4 linked regions of the Saccharomyces cerevisiae S288C genome follow. Changing the gene in region 3 together with the main gene of any one other region gives a genetic interaction. Each region holds a gene or a part of one and is shown on either strand. Other genes may lie near its edges. The genes, in order: CKB2, RBP95, RSA3 and RVB2.

The links.
Region 1: mutations in RSA3 (region 3) and CKB2 together harm fitness more than expected from each alone (negative genetic interaction), as found in Saccharomyces cerevisiae (3 studies listed by BioGRID).
Region 2: mutations in RSA3 (region 3) and RBP95 together harm fitness more than expected from each alone (negative genetic interaction), as found in Saccharomyces cerevisiae (5 studies listed by BioGRID, with this or other methods).
Region 4: mutations in RSA3 (region 3) and RVB2 impair growth when combined (synthetic growth defect), as found in Saccharomyces cerevisiae (2 studies listed by BioGRID, with this or other methods).

The regions. Positions count from the first base shown.
Region 1 is NC_001147.6:403,918-407,044, reverse strand, and holds CKB2 (casein kinase 2 regulatory subunit CKB2), read right to left. Parts: upstream 1,278-3,127; coding exon 501-1,277; downstream 1-500. Other genes in the region: HIR2 (Hir2p), read left to right, coding at 1,657-3,127. UniProt on the Saccharomyces cerevisiae protein: Regulatory subunit of casein kinase II/CK2.
Region 2 is NC_001135.5:141,426-145,560, reverse strand, and holds RBP95 (RNA-binding ribosome assembly factor RBP95), read right to left. Parts: upstream 1,928-4,135; coding exon 1,055-1,927; downstream 1-1,054. Other genes in the region: CWH43 (Cwh43p), read left to right, coding at 1-788; CTO1 (Cto1p), read left to right, coding at 3,391-4,135.
Region 3 is NC_001144.5:577,499-581,374, forward strand, and holds RSA3 (Rsa3p), read right to left. Parts: upstream 1,527-3,876; coding exon 864-1,526; downstream 1-863. Other genes in the region: CCC1 (Ccc1p), read left to right, coding at 1-295; U3 snoRNA-associated protein UTP13, read right to left, coding at 1,820-3,876. UniProt on the Saccharomyces cerevisiae protein: Required for efficient biogenesis of the 60S ribosomal subunit.
Region 4 is NC_001148.4:101,631-105,147, reverse strand, and holds RVB2 (RuvB family ATP-dependent DNA helicase reptin), read right to left. Parts: upstream 1,917-3,517; coding exon 501-1,916; downstream 1-500. Other genes in the region: VMA11 (H(+)-transporting V0 sector ATPase subunit c'), read left to right, coding at 1-202; putative serine/threonine protein kinase ENV7, read left to right, coding at 2,446-3,517. UniProt on the Saccharomyces cerevisiae protein: DNA helicase which participates in several chromatin remodeling complexes, including the SWR1 and the INO80 complexes.

The sequences.
Region 1 (3,127 bases), on a different chromosome or scaffold from region 3:
ACCAAAGAATGAGTAAATCTCCTCTTTTCAGTACTTCCAGATTAGTCTTCAAACAGCTTTTGAGTTTTTAAAATATAAACCGCCTCTTAGTTCATAGGCAGTCTCCACGCGATGCCGCCACTTCTCCAATTTCTTGATAAATAAGGATGCTTCCTACATTCAAAGATTTCAAGCTATTCACTAAAATAACACCAATAATTCGTGGGTAACCACATTTGCAAATTGTTGATATATAACAGGCTAACTTCGGAGCACGCTCTTTTATCTGGTTGTATTATTGCCGTAAGGGGCAATAACGGTATATAAAAATTTAATATTAAATAGGAAAAGTAAAATACGAATGGAGGTAGAAAATAGTAATATTCTAGGAAAGAAAATGCTAGGAGAACAAATGATACCTGATTTTCACAATTTTATGACGAAGTTTCTCCATTATTTTCATTTTCGTTTTCAATTTCGCCTAGGATTTCATTTCGAATTTTTTCTTCTTTCTTTAATAGTTAGGTTTTAAAACCACCACTTTTCGTCAAATCAACATCTTTGGATTCAAGTTTCTCAACTAACTTGAGTCGTTGTAGTTCTTGCCACCTTGTCAGTTGAGCTTGTTTATGTAATTCAAATCCAAATATTTTTGGAACATATCTTTTAGTTGGGTGTTTGGGTACCATATCTGGAAATGCTTGCAAAAACATACCTGGAAAACTTGTTCCAAAGTATGCACCATCAATGGAACTATGTCTCGATGATTTTGGTATATAAAGATCCTCACAAGATGGACAATATAACTTGACACAATCTATACCAGGAATGTCATGCAAACCAACCGGTAACAACTGTTGTAAATTACAATACACACGGGGACATCTTCCAAAGTCCGCCTCTTTGTACTTAGCGTACATTTTTTGCAATCCTTTGATAGTTATAATGTAGCGTGCATGGATGAGACCATACAGCTTCCGGGAATCTGATTCTAATTGTTCTAAACGGGCATGTGTCATATTCTCTAGGATACTATCATCCAAATCATCCACAATATATTGTACCACGTAGGAAAATTTTGAAACTGTCTTTTGCAAGTTCATCAGATTAAAACGATCAGTGATGTACTCAGGATCGACATCACAGAAATATTCATGGCCTTTTCTCCCAAGAAATAAATCGATCCACATATCCACGTATTCCGATGAGTCAGAGTCATCATCCATGAGGACATCATCTTGTTCCACTCTGGAGCCTTCTCTAGTCACTGTTCCCACATTCTCCGATCTACTGCCCATGATCTGCTTTTCTATCAGTTCTCTAAGTCCCTTAATCTTGAATAATTTGAAAAAAGCTAGTATTTCTCAAGTAAAAGATTGATGAAAAAATACAGCAGGAAAATTCCACGTATCTGGAATGACCAACTTCTTTAAGAATGTGATTTACTTATTCTATTTGGTGCTTGTTTTCATTTGATAAAGGATTGCCAATACACCTCCATTTATTCGCTTTCATATTTTTTCTTCCTGGAAGGTCGACAAAAAAAAGCGCGAAAAAAATATCAGTTAATTCGGCTAGAATTATGAAGTCTTCATAAAACAATATACAAAAAGTGCTAAATCGTCCATACAGAGGAATACGCCACGCAGCAAAGGAGTTCCTACACAATCCGGAACAATGAGATTATTAAAGTATCCTTTGGATATTCATAATGAACAAGTGAATGCCTTAGCTGCCCTTGGTCCCTATATCATATTGGCAGGCAGTGGGGGTCACGTGATGGCGTGGAGACAACAACAACTAGTCGATACTGCATTCGATAGGGTTATGATTAAGGATTTAAAGCCAGAAGTTTCTTTCCAGGTGGATCAGGATACTACCGGTGATATTTTTTTCATAACAGGTGATCTCGAAACATTGTATATTGGATCTGAACATCGTCTGTGGGGTTATTCAGGTTGGCTCTGTAGAGATACAAATAACATCAATTCTGTCGAAAAAATGAACAGTAAGCTTCTGTTCGAGTGTAAATCTCCAAGCACAATAACGGATGTGAAATATGACATAAACTTAGGTATCTTATTTGTTCTTTTAAGTAATGAAAATAAGATACTATTATTTCGGCATAAAACCTTTGATAAACTCTCTGAAATAACTATTGACAAGGCGAGCAAACCTATTACAGGCATAATAGATCCTACTGGCCAAACTTTTACTGTTATGACTTCAGATAGATCAATTTTAGTCTATCAAATTAACAAAACGGGTACACACAAACTCATAAATAAACTTACGCAGCATGTACAAATGTATCCATTACATTATAGAATCTCAATGTCACCTCAGGCAGACATTTTACCAGTGATAAACTCGGTGAAAGGTGTGCCGAATAATGCTACCAGCTGTACCGCTTTACTTGACAGAAATAACAACTACAAAGTTACAAAAACACTGGTAACACCTTCTTCAAATGGATGTAGAGTTCTTGTTTATTCTCCAGCATTTTATGAAAAGCCTAATTTGAAAAAGGGCACCAGCACACGCTATAATTTAATCGCCACTTCGGGATCTACAGACGGTACTATTTTGGTTTGGAATACGAAGAGAATGAAACCTTTGTTTAATGCTCTCCAGGTTTCCTCCACCGCAATAAACGATATGTCTTGGTCACAGGATGGGTTCACCTTGTTTGCCATTTCAAACGACGCGACATTGTATACATTCGCATTCCAAGAGAAGGATTTAGGTGTAGCATTGCCTCAAACGGAAATCAAATCGTTACAAGAAGTAAACAAAAAGCTTCCAAAGCTTGAAGAGCCGTTAGCAGAACAAATACCGAAAAGTTTCCCAGAAAACATCAAATTAGAAGAATCTGCAAGCGCAGCACCTATTCCAAACGATATTGGTAGATCTGCCGTGGGCAAGAAACCGACCAAAAAAAAAACGGCTAACAATCAAACTAATGGCATCAAAACTATCCAGAGCACATCAATGGAATTCAACACTCCATCATACACTGTGCCAAGGGATTTGAAGAGAAAGCCAAAAGAGGCAACTCCAAGTAACATTGCCCCTGGCAGCAAAAAGCAGAAAAAAGAGCTACAGCCAATTGACTTTTTAGATACCGGCTTGCTCCTACCCAATACGT
Region 2 (4,135 bases), on a different chromosome or scaffold from region 3:
TCGATAATGATATGTGGGCATCTGAAGACAGAATGATCAACCTTATTAAAGATATGGAACTAGATGTGGTAGGTCTACTAGAAACAGATACACAAAGAATTACCATGGGGAACAGGGATCTAACTAGCAAACTAGCTCATGATTTGAATATGTATGCAGATTTCGGACCAGGTCCAAATAAACATACCTGGGGCTGTGTTCTTCTTTCTAAATTCCCTATCGTAAATTCTACGCATCATTTATTGCCCTCTCCAGTTGGGGAACTTGCGCCAGCCATTCATGCCACACTTCAAACGTACAATGACACTCTCGTTGACGTCTTTGTATTCCATAGTGGACAAGAAGAGGATGAAGAGGATAGAAGACTGCAAAGTAACTACATGGCTAAGCTCATGGGCAATACGACTCGCCCAGCTATTTTATTAAGTTACTTAGTTGTTGATCCAGGTGAAGGCAACTACAATACGTACGTTAGTGAAACATCCGGAATGCACGACATTGATCCTTCTGACGATGATAGATGGTGTGAGTATATCTTGTATAGGGGCTTGAGAAGAACAGGATATGCTAGAGTTGCAAGAGGAACGATAACCGATACGGAGCTACAAGTTGGTAAGTTCCAAGTTTTGAGTGAGCAAGCGTTAGTAGAGCACTCGGATTCTATGTATGAATACGGTCATATGAGTGAACCGGAATATGAGGACATGAAATTTCCAGATAAGTTTTTAGGCGAAGGTGAGAGGGGTCACTTCTACCATGTTTTTGATGAGCCACGTTATTACTTATAAGAGGCCGTAAGGTGGTTTTATAAATCAGTGTAATCACATTGTGTGTACTGAAAATCTTGATAACTTAAGGTAAGTTATGTATCCACCTGATTTTTTTGACCTCGAATTTTAAAAATTTATGTGATTTCTTTATGTATGTTACTTAGACGATCTTGTTATAGTTTTGTAAGAAATTATACTTCCTGAAACGATTTATCCCGCTACTTTTTGAGCGTATTTCACAGTAAAATATATACTACAACTGAACAACGTTGTTGAACTCTATGTTAAACATCAACGAAGAAATTCTTAAGTTCTATCTGCTCCGAGTCATCATTCTTCCAAATTTCTAGTAATTTCAGACTTCTTTGAACAAGCTCTTTATTCGGCATTTGTACTTCCTCTTGCTCGTCTTGTACCTCTTTTTGCTTCCCTTGTTCGGCATTACCGTCTTTTTCACCTTCTTCTTTTTCTTCACCATTAATTGGTTCGCTAGCCTTATCCTCTGCAATTAACGCTTTTATTTTTGTTTCTTGATCTTCCACATAGTCGTTCCATTGCTTCAGTTTTCCTTTGCATTTTGATATTAGTTCTTCTTTTGATTTACCTTGTAAGTCCCTGAAATATAAAAGCAAAAGATCATTATATACTGAGGGGATTTCGTCCAAGTTGAAAAAATGCTTAATAAGCCAATTTTGCTTTTGCTTGGAAAATTTCCAAACTTCAACAACACCAGACTCTGATGGCTCGTCTTTGATCAGGGAGTCGCCGTAATTTTCTTTTACACTTTCCAATTCTAGGATTCCGGTGGGAAACTTGCTCTCAGACTTTGTCCTGAAAAATTCTATCAGGTAACGTAATTGATCTTTAAGAATTTTATTTTTTTTCGAATTCTTTTCATCCTTTGACAATTTTTCCTTCTTCTTCGTCCCTGGTTTCGACACACGCTTCCCTTTTTTGGTAGAGGATTTGCTCTCACCATTAATGATTCTTTTTTTCTCTTTCTTTGTCAAATTACCAGTGGATAAATGCGTAGTGATATTTAGTGGATCATCATCTATTAGATTGGATTGGCCTTTTTCTTTACTTTCGTCACCACTGCTTATAGTCTGTCTCTTCAAAGCAATTCTTTTCCAGGCAGGAACGTGATTTTCGGACATTTAATTGTGAAGTGAATGTTTCTTCTGCTTGTAATTTGTCGATAAAGAAAGCACTTATGACAGTACTTTGATATTTGAATTTAGCTCATCTCTTTTCGTTCCTTTTTCTCGCTCGAAAATTTTCAATAATTTGCAGTAAAAAGGCGATGCCAGTAAAAAACTACCTGCAAAGGGAGCGTTAGACATATCTTTTATTGGCGACAAATATTTTTAGCGATATATATCCGTAAAGATCTGGCGATATTCTTTATCACTCGATGATAATAAATTCTTTTACACTTTGCTATTTTCCATGAGAACGGTTGGTATTCCTGTTCCCAATAACAAAAGCGTTTGCATATTTTTATGGTGAAGGTACTATCAACTGTAAAGTATGTACAATAGATTTATTAAAGGGAAACACTTTTCGTAGTAAGAAAAGCAGGTTTATAATTCAATTGTTTTAAAGCTGAATAATGCCGTGGTGTTAAACTACGACCGAGCTATAGCAACAGCATCGGCCACACACTCTCTCTTATTCTTATGTTAATAGTCGACCTTTCAAGGATGTTCTTGTTGGAATAGAAATCCACTATCGTCTATCAACTAATAGTTATATTATCAATATATTATCATATACGGTGTTAAGATGATGACATAAGTTATGAGAAGCTGTCATCGAAGTTAGAGGAAGCTGAAGTGCAAGGATTGATAATGTAATAGGATAATGAAACATATAAAATAGAAGAAGGGATAATCGTAATATTAGTATGTAGAAATATGGATTCCATTTTGAGGATTCCTCTATCCTTGAAGAGAACTCCTAGTATATTCCGTATACATAATATTGTTGCTTTTCTCGAATCATGTATCAAGATTACTAGCGCAAGTGGTTTAGTGGTAAAATCCAACGTTGCCATCGTTGGGCCCCCGGTTCGATTCCGGGCTTGCGCATCTTTTTTACTTTATATACTATTTTTTTTTTTTTTCTTTTTCCCAAATTTTTTCATGAAAAATTTGGCGGAACGGTACATAAGAATAGAAGAGATTCGTTATGAAAATTTTCTACTCTCTTTCACATTTTTTTTTTCATAAGAATTAAAAAAATAAGCTTAATGCCCTCTTTGTACGATGGTGTCACTCTAAAATTATTTACGTAATTTAATTGGATGTGATATCAAGCACTAGTTTTGTTTGGAGGAGCAGAGATTGAAAGCCTAGCTTTTACACCGGTTTGAGTCGGTTCCTTCGTTTTCTTAGTTGGAATTGATATAGAAGTGTGTGGACAATCGATTTGCAAAACTTTTTATTTTATGTATTACTACTGAGCTTGTTTATCTGTATACTTTTTTCTTATTATTATGTAGTTAGAGGTTAGTTCTTATCGTTTTCTTTAAAAGCGACCTTTCTTCGCACAAAGCAATGTTGACAATCGAGCCAATGCATTTAACAATTGCAGTAACCAGAAGCGAACAGTGGAGGATATGAAAACCATTATTATTTCAGATTTTGATGAAACAATCACAAGAGTTGACACAATCTGCACCATTGCTAAATTACCGTATCTACTGAACCCGCGGTTGAAACCTGAGTGGGGTCATTTTACCAAGACATATATGGACGGATACCATAAATACAAATACAATGGAACGAGATCACTGCCGTTGTTATCTTCAGGCGTACCTACGATAATTTCGCAGTCTAACTTCAATAAGTTGTTTGCGGACGAATTAAAATATCAAAATCATAACAGGGTTGTTGAGTTAAATAGTGTAAATGAAATTACAAAACAACAGATTTTTAAGTCGATTTCTTTGGATCAAATGAAAACGTTCGCCAGAGATCAGAATCACGAAGATTGTTTACTAAGAGATGGTTTCAAAACGTTTTGCTCTTCAGTTGTCAAAAATTTTGAAAGTGATTTTTACGTTTTATCTATAAATTGGTCAAAAGAGTTTATTCATGAAGTCATTGGTGACAGAAGACTTAAAAATAGTCATATTTTTTGTAACGATCTAAAAAAAGTTAGTGACAAGTGTTCTCAAAGCTACAATGGTGAATTTGATTGTCGGTTATTGACAGGCTCTGATAAGGTCAAGATACTGGGTGAAATATTAGATAAGATCGACTCAGGTTGCAATAAAGAAGGAAATTCTTGCAGCTATTGGTATATAGGGGATAGTGAGACTGACTTGTTGTCCATATTACATCCATCTACTAATGGTGTAC
Region 3 (3,876 bases):
CGAACCTGCCGAGAATAGAGAACTAATCAGTGCAGTCACTATCGGTGGCGGTTATCTACTTGGTGGGCTAGTACCACTAGTGCCATATTTTTTTGTCTCAGATGTGGGCACAGGTCTCATTTATTCTATAATAGTCATGGTTGTAACATTATTCTGGTTTGGTTACGTAAAGACAAAACTATCCATGGGTAGTGGCAGTTCGACTTCAAAGAAAGTTACGGAAGGTGTTGAAATGGTTGTTGTGGGTGGTGTAGCAGCAGGTGCGGCTTGGTTCTTTGTTAAGTTACTGGGTTAAGTGTAAAGTAACAACACTATACATATTTATTGTAAAGAAATTTGGGATTGAGAAGCTTTGCTATATACTTGGAACTGGGCTGGATTTTCTCGACATACATTTCTTTTACGTTTTAATTTGTTTCTATATTCTCCTCTTTAAATTTATTTATATTAATGAATTTCAAACTAGTTTCTTTTTCTATTGCCAAGAGGCCCATCAGGTGATCCATGATAACCTTTATTCGCATTGAATCGTTTTTCATTGGATCTAATTCGTCATTTGGTCGCCGCCTTTCTTTGCTCCTTCTGCTTTTTTCTTTTTCTCTTTGACTATCAGGTCATAAGATCTTCTCCTCCATTATGCCCAAGTGTTTTTCTTTTTTTTGCCTTTATATAAATTACAAAATACATACATATACTTCTCGTGCAGTATACTGGAATCAGCTTTATACCATATGAAGCACAACTTGGATCAGGACCGCTCTTCATTAAAAATCGAAGAATTATCTAAATAATTAATGTGCACGTCAATATATTCTCCGCGGAAACATGACAAACTTTTAGAAAAAGATTTAAAGCAATATTTTTCAGTTCTCCATTTCTTTATTTTTCAAGACCAATTCTAGTTCACCAATATCAAACATTCCTATGCCTTCCTGCAGAGCATCTGCCAAAATGGATAGTGATTTATTCGTGAAATCCGGGGCAGCTCTAAGACGATTGATATCATCACCGTAGTTTTCAAAAAGTAAATTTAAGTATTCTTCCCTTAACTTTGTCTTGTCTTTCCCTTTGGGCACAAAGTTTTCTGCCAATTCATTGTATTCTTCTCTCGCAAGCTTGATATTTTCGGCAATTTTCGATGCATTCATAAAACCCTCCTTGTTTTGAGATTTCGTAGGCTCTGGGATCTTGCTCAAAGAAATTTTGGTTAAATCGTCTATCACTTCTTTTGAATTTAACTTCAAATCCTTGCTTTCTTCGTCTGTAAGCTCGACATCCGAAACTTCTATTGCAATGTCCTCTTGTTTGTCTTCGTCATTACCTTTTGAGAAAACATGATCACTTTTACCATTTTCTCCAACGTGTTCTTCGATGGCCCCATTTTGGATTTCCTCCTTTTCACTTTCTGATGATGGATCCGATGATGAAGAATCTGATGATGAAACATCAGCTGTTCTTCTCTTCTTCCTCCTTCTGTTTTTTTTGACAGACTTGATATTTATGGCTGATATATCACCTGCCGACATCCTGTATAATATATTATGGCTAGTTCTTTCCGTGCTATTTCAAGTGGGCAGTTTAAATTCTTGTATATATTACTACAATATATGAAAGTTTTCGCTCTTCGTTTTTTGCAAATTTTTAGTGATGAGCTCTTCGCGCAAAGAAGTTTTCAATGCCCGTAAAGGCACCTAATTATATATCGAATTATTTTAAGCTTTCCGCTTCATCAATGCATTTTGTCTTTATATATCTAGTTTACAAAATAATATGTTGCTATTGCCTTGCTTTTAAAGGCTCAATATCTTGGACTTACTGCCTAGAATAGCTTATCCATTTCCACTAGCGCGTAGTCTAATATGTAACTTTGTTCAACTAAGTTATCAACCCTTGTGAAATGCCTTTGCGTGTATGGAATTATTGCATCAACTATCTTTACCATTCCGGGTATCTCACTCAATTTTGCTATGTTATGATGCATCAAAATACATCTTATTGTTCTTTGCGCTATGGTATGTGTTTTTGCATTTGTATTCCAATCTCTGCATCGTTTCATTAACAAAATTAACTGTTCATCATTTAGGATAGAGATGGCTTGGTCCAATTCTTCATTGAAAATGACTTCAATTTTGCCCTCTTCGGTATCTTGTCTAGACCTTGATTCGCCCAAAGCTCTTTTCAAAACATTAAACAACCTCATTGGGTGATCTAAAGTCATTGCTAACAAAAATGCATTTGTCCAATCACCTTTGCTCATATAATTTTGAAGCGATTGTTCTTGTTCGACTTGTAATTTAGCTTTTTCTTGTTCTTCTTCTATTTCTTGTTCCGTACAATCTTTCCAAAACTGAAAAACACCATCTGCATCAGCACTTACGATCATATCACCATCATTCATAGTACTTAAAGCCCATAATCTATTATTATGACCATCCAAAGTCTTCAGACATTCACCGCTAGAACAATCCCATATTTTGATCAAGCCATCAGCACCACAACTGATCAGTTGTTTTTGCTTATTAATAAACGAACATCTTTGAACCGCATTGGTATGACCTTCCAATGTTTTCATAACGCTGAATGTATCCAATGACCATATCTTGACTGTTTTATCACCTGAAGAAGTTGCCAATAATTTATCATATTGGCAAAATGATACATCCCATAGTCCACGCTTGTGGTTGGCCAACGTGGCTTCCAATTCACCATTTTCTAGGTTCCAGATCTTACAGGTCTTGTCGTATGATGCTGTTGCAAAAATAGAATCGTTAGGAGAAACTGACAAAGCATTGATATCCTTTTCATGGGCATGACGAGTATATTCGGATACCTTGATGATTTGAACATCCATACTAGCAGTTGGCTTTGGAATTATCCATTTCTTAATTGTTAAATCATTCGATGCTGTCAATAAAAATTCAGGATATCCCTTTGAAACTATATTTGGCAATCCAACAGCAGTTACGGCAGCTGAATGACCAATATACTTGGCATAAATATCAAACTTGCAGCTGTTCTCATTGTATCTCCAAACAATAGCCGTATTATCTTTAGAGGCGGTTGCGATCCACAGGCCATCCTCAGTAGCATCCAATGAATTTAGCAAATCTTCATGACCTTCATAAATTTCGACATCCAAAGGCAGCGAAGCTTCTGGGCCTGATAAATCGGGGACGGGTATTATCCTAAGCGATGGAGAATTGGTAGCTAAAGCTAATTTATTCAGCTCTGGGCCAACATACCTCATGTCAGCAATAATACCATGATTACCAGCAATGCTCGAAGTGACCTGTATTGTGTCTTCATCATTCTTTAAGTCTTCTTCAACGTTAATTAGTTGTAATGTCTGGTCAGACAATACTAAAAACATCTGTGAATTGCTCAATATTGGAAGTACACCAATAATGAATAACTCTTCTATAGGTTTATTGGTTCTTTTAAGCACGCTACCAGATTCAGAGTCAATTAACTGAAAGATAGCATCACCGCCGGCTGTATAAATTATGCGTTTACCGTCACCATCCTTTAGGAATCCGCATGACTCTACCTGTTGATTTACTGGAAGTGTTTTCAACAATTTACATTTCTTTTTCATATTGAAATCCCAGAGATTGATGATATCGTCTCTACCACCGGAAAGTAAATTTAGGCTTGGCTCATCATTATCTGGTACCTCAATGATATCCAACCCTCTCACAGCAGATGTGTGCTCTTGTAATGTGTGCAAGCACTTCCTTTTAACAAGATCCCAAACCTTTACCATACCATTGGTGTCACCGGATGCTAATAACCATATTTTACTATTCAATTGTCCATAAAACTTCAAACTGGAAATTGTACCACCATGACCTTTGAACGAATGAGTAATGTAACCAT
Region 4 (3,517 bases), on a different chromosome or scaffold from region 3:
CTTGAGTTGTGGGCTCTGTGTGGGATTTGCCTGTTTGAGTAGTGGCTACGCCATTGGTATGGTCGGTGACGTTGGTGTTAGAAAGTATATGCACCAACCAAGGCTTTTTGTCGGTATCGTTTTGATTCTAATTTTCTCTGAAGTTTTAGGGTTATATGGTATGATTGTAGCTTTGATTTTGAACACTAGAGGCTCTGAATGAGTCAAAAGTTTAAAAAAAAAAAATAATTACAATAAAAAAATTTTTTCTCATATACACGCACCAACCCCCTTCATATATGTATAGAATATAGTATATATTATAATACTGCTATCTATACATTTGATAATCGATAATTATTCGAAAGAAGGTATATCATACGGGGTTCTGAACGTGCTGGCCAACTGCTGCCTATTTTAGGTGTACTTTTTTACTTCTTATCACCAACAATCACGCAAACATAAAATTTTTATTTATACATATATATTTGATGCAATTTCTGCCTTAAAGTACAAAATGCTTATTCCGTAGTATCCATGGCATCAGGGTCTGCTGATTTAGCAATGGATATTTGAACGTTGCCCTGATCATCAATATATTGTGACTCGTTCTCTTGAACATACTTAACAGATCTAGCGCTGTCCAAAAATAGCAAATAAGCCCTTTTGACATCTTCCACTTCAACAGTGTTGTTTTTTCTCTTCATTGCAATTTGCTGAGCAACAGAGATTAAATTACTGCTGTAACGCAAACTAGTTTCCACACCTGTTTTGGTCAATAGATCTAAGGCATCGGATGACAGTTCAACTTCCTCCTCTTGTGCTCTTATAGATAAAATTGTCTTAATCTCCTGCTCATTATAACTTTTAGTTGTAATAATAATTGACCTATCCAAAAGATCGAGAGGTAACCCATGTGGAGATTTGTAATTAGTCCCTCTGGTTTTGGAAACTCCTCTATTTGTAGCCATCATGACGATTGGGGCAAACTCATCTTCCAAAGCCCTATTTATAAAGGAAAAACATTCTATATCCAACATGTGGACTTCGTCGATAAATAATACACCAGGAACAATTTCTGCTTTACCTTCTTCTTTCCATTCTGCCACTTTTGTGTTTATCTGGTCTCTTACCTCTGACCTAATTTCACCGGTGTCACCAGTAAATAATGCCAAAAATCCTTGTGTTCTTGAATTAATAACATCAATTTCATGCAGTGACACCGTGTGAACCACTGTTTTCCTTTTTTGCAGTTCGCCTTCCGGACATTGAACAAATCTGGTATCAGCACCCATGGCATCATAATCCCTAGATCTAGCAAAGGATCTGCCTAGCTTGGTAATCTTCCCACTAGCTTTATCAATAGAAATAACATCGCCAGCCAATACCTTTTCTTTAGTTAGGCCATCAATCATTTTATTGCCTAATTCATAAATTGTTTCCATATCGGTAGTTTTAATAGTCAATTTTCCTTGTTTGTGTCCACCAGTAATAGATCTATCAATTTGAATTTCCACGACTTCACCTTCAATCAATTCTGTCTCCTCCTTGATTTTGATACCGATGGATTTCCTAAAAGCTTGAGTTAGTGCTTCAGTTTTACTCAATTCTAAAGAAAAGATTTCTGAGCCCGCAATAGCAGTGAATGGTACATCTTTACCCAGAGACTGGGAAACACCCATGGCAAGAGCGGTCTTACCAGTTGAAGGGGGGCCCGCTACCAAAACAGCCCTACCTGCTATGGTGCCATTTTGAACCATTTTCAATATCACACCAGCAGCACGACGGGCTTGCAATTGCCCAACCATACCTTCGGATGTGGGACGTGGTTGCAAGTTTTCATCTAGACCTAAACCTGTAATATGGGAGTGGGCAGCAATTAAAGATAACGACTTTAAATCTGATGTTTCATTTGGATCACTAGTTTGAATCGACATGCTGACAATTTTTTTTATTTCCTTTCAAAGTAACTTGTGCTAGACTGCTAGAGAAAGTAGTATTGCTGGCTTCAACTAACTGAACTTCTTTCTCTCGTTTCCCGTGTGAATGTACAGTCTTCATTTAGCTTTCATCTTCTATTGAAAACCTTCAAAAAGTTCGCTGAAAAAAATAATTTTCACGTTTCTTTCAAACTGATCACGTGAAAGGGAGTTAAATAGACTTTAATAAGTGTAGAAACAAAGAAGTAAAGAAAACCGCTATATTGGGTCTAACCAATACGACTGATACAACTGTGTTGACCCCCAAAGTTTACATAATTTGCTCTTTTTCTTTTTTGCAAGATCCTTTCTGTTTTGATAAGTCCTGTCTTATGACACCGAGTTAGGGACATTTTCGGTATCTGGTTTTGTAAGATGTTGAACCATACTTTCTCCAAAAAGACGAAACAGAGAGTAGACAAAAAGAGCCTGTAATCTCAGCGACTGACTAGGGATAAAATAACGATTGTACCATCTTATCCGATCAATGATTTCTATTGTATTGGAATTGTTCCAGAACTTGTGCTGCTGTCGCGGATTTTCCGATGCTACTATTAGGGTAAATGATAAACGATATAGGATTCAACGACTACTTGGAGAAGGTGGAATGTCCTTTGTGTATTTGGTACAACTGTCAAAGAATTCTCTGATTATAGACAACGGCATCGCAACACCAGAATTATACGCACTAAAGAAGATTATTTGTCCTAGTGTGGAAAGTATATCCAATGGTATGCGAGAAATTGAAAATTACAAACGGTTTCAAAGTCCTTATGTTATAAAAAGTATCGACTCACAAGTAATGCAGGAAAAAGATGGGTCAAAAACAATTTACATAGTACTACCCTATTATTCATTAGGGAGTTTACAAGACTCTATTAATCGGAGGTTACTCGAGGGCACCTTTGTATCAGAGGCAGAATGCGTAAGGATAATGCTTGGAGTTACAAGAGGTTTACTTTGTTTACATGATCCTGCGTCAAGACAAGATAACGCTACTTCCAGAGTAAATGTCGATGCGGTTTCTATGACTTATAGCGATGAAACGGCGATGCTCCTAGAAGACACCCCCTTAGAGATGGACATGCTTTCCTCCAACTCAGCAGGTTCAATAGCATATGCACATCGCGATATTACACCTTCAAACATTTTGTTCTCTTCAGACGGTTTACCAGTAATTGGTGACCTCGGCTCCTGCTCTCAAGCTGATATAACAATTGAAAACAGACATCAACTCAGCGAACTACAAGAATGGGTCAATGACAATTGTACGTTGCCATATACTCCACCAGAACTTCTGAACTTGAAATTAAATCAGGTTTTGAGCTCTAAGGTTGATATTTGGTCTTTGGGTTGTACGTTCTATACTTTAATGTTCGGTATCTCCCCCTTTGAGCGAGAAGAGCAGATACATGGAGCTTCTTTAACCTACGCTATAAACACTGGTAAGTACAGTTTCCCGAGAAATTCCAGATTTTCTGAGGGGCTTTTGAGTGTAATCAAGAAATGCATTCAAGTGGATCCTATACAAAGGCCTACTACCAGCCAATTATTAAATC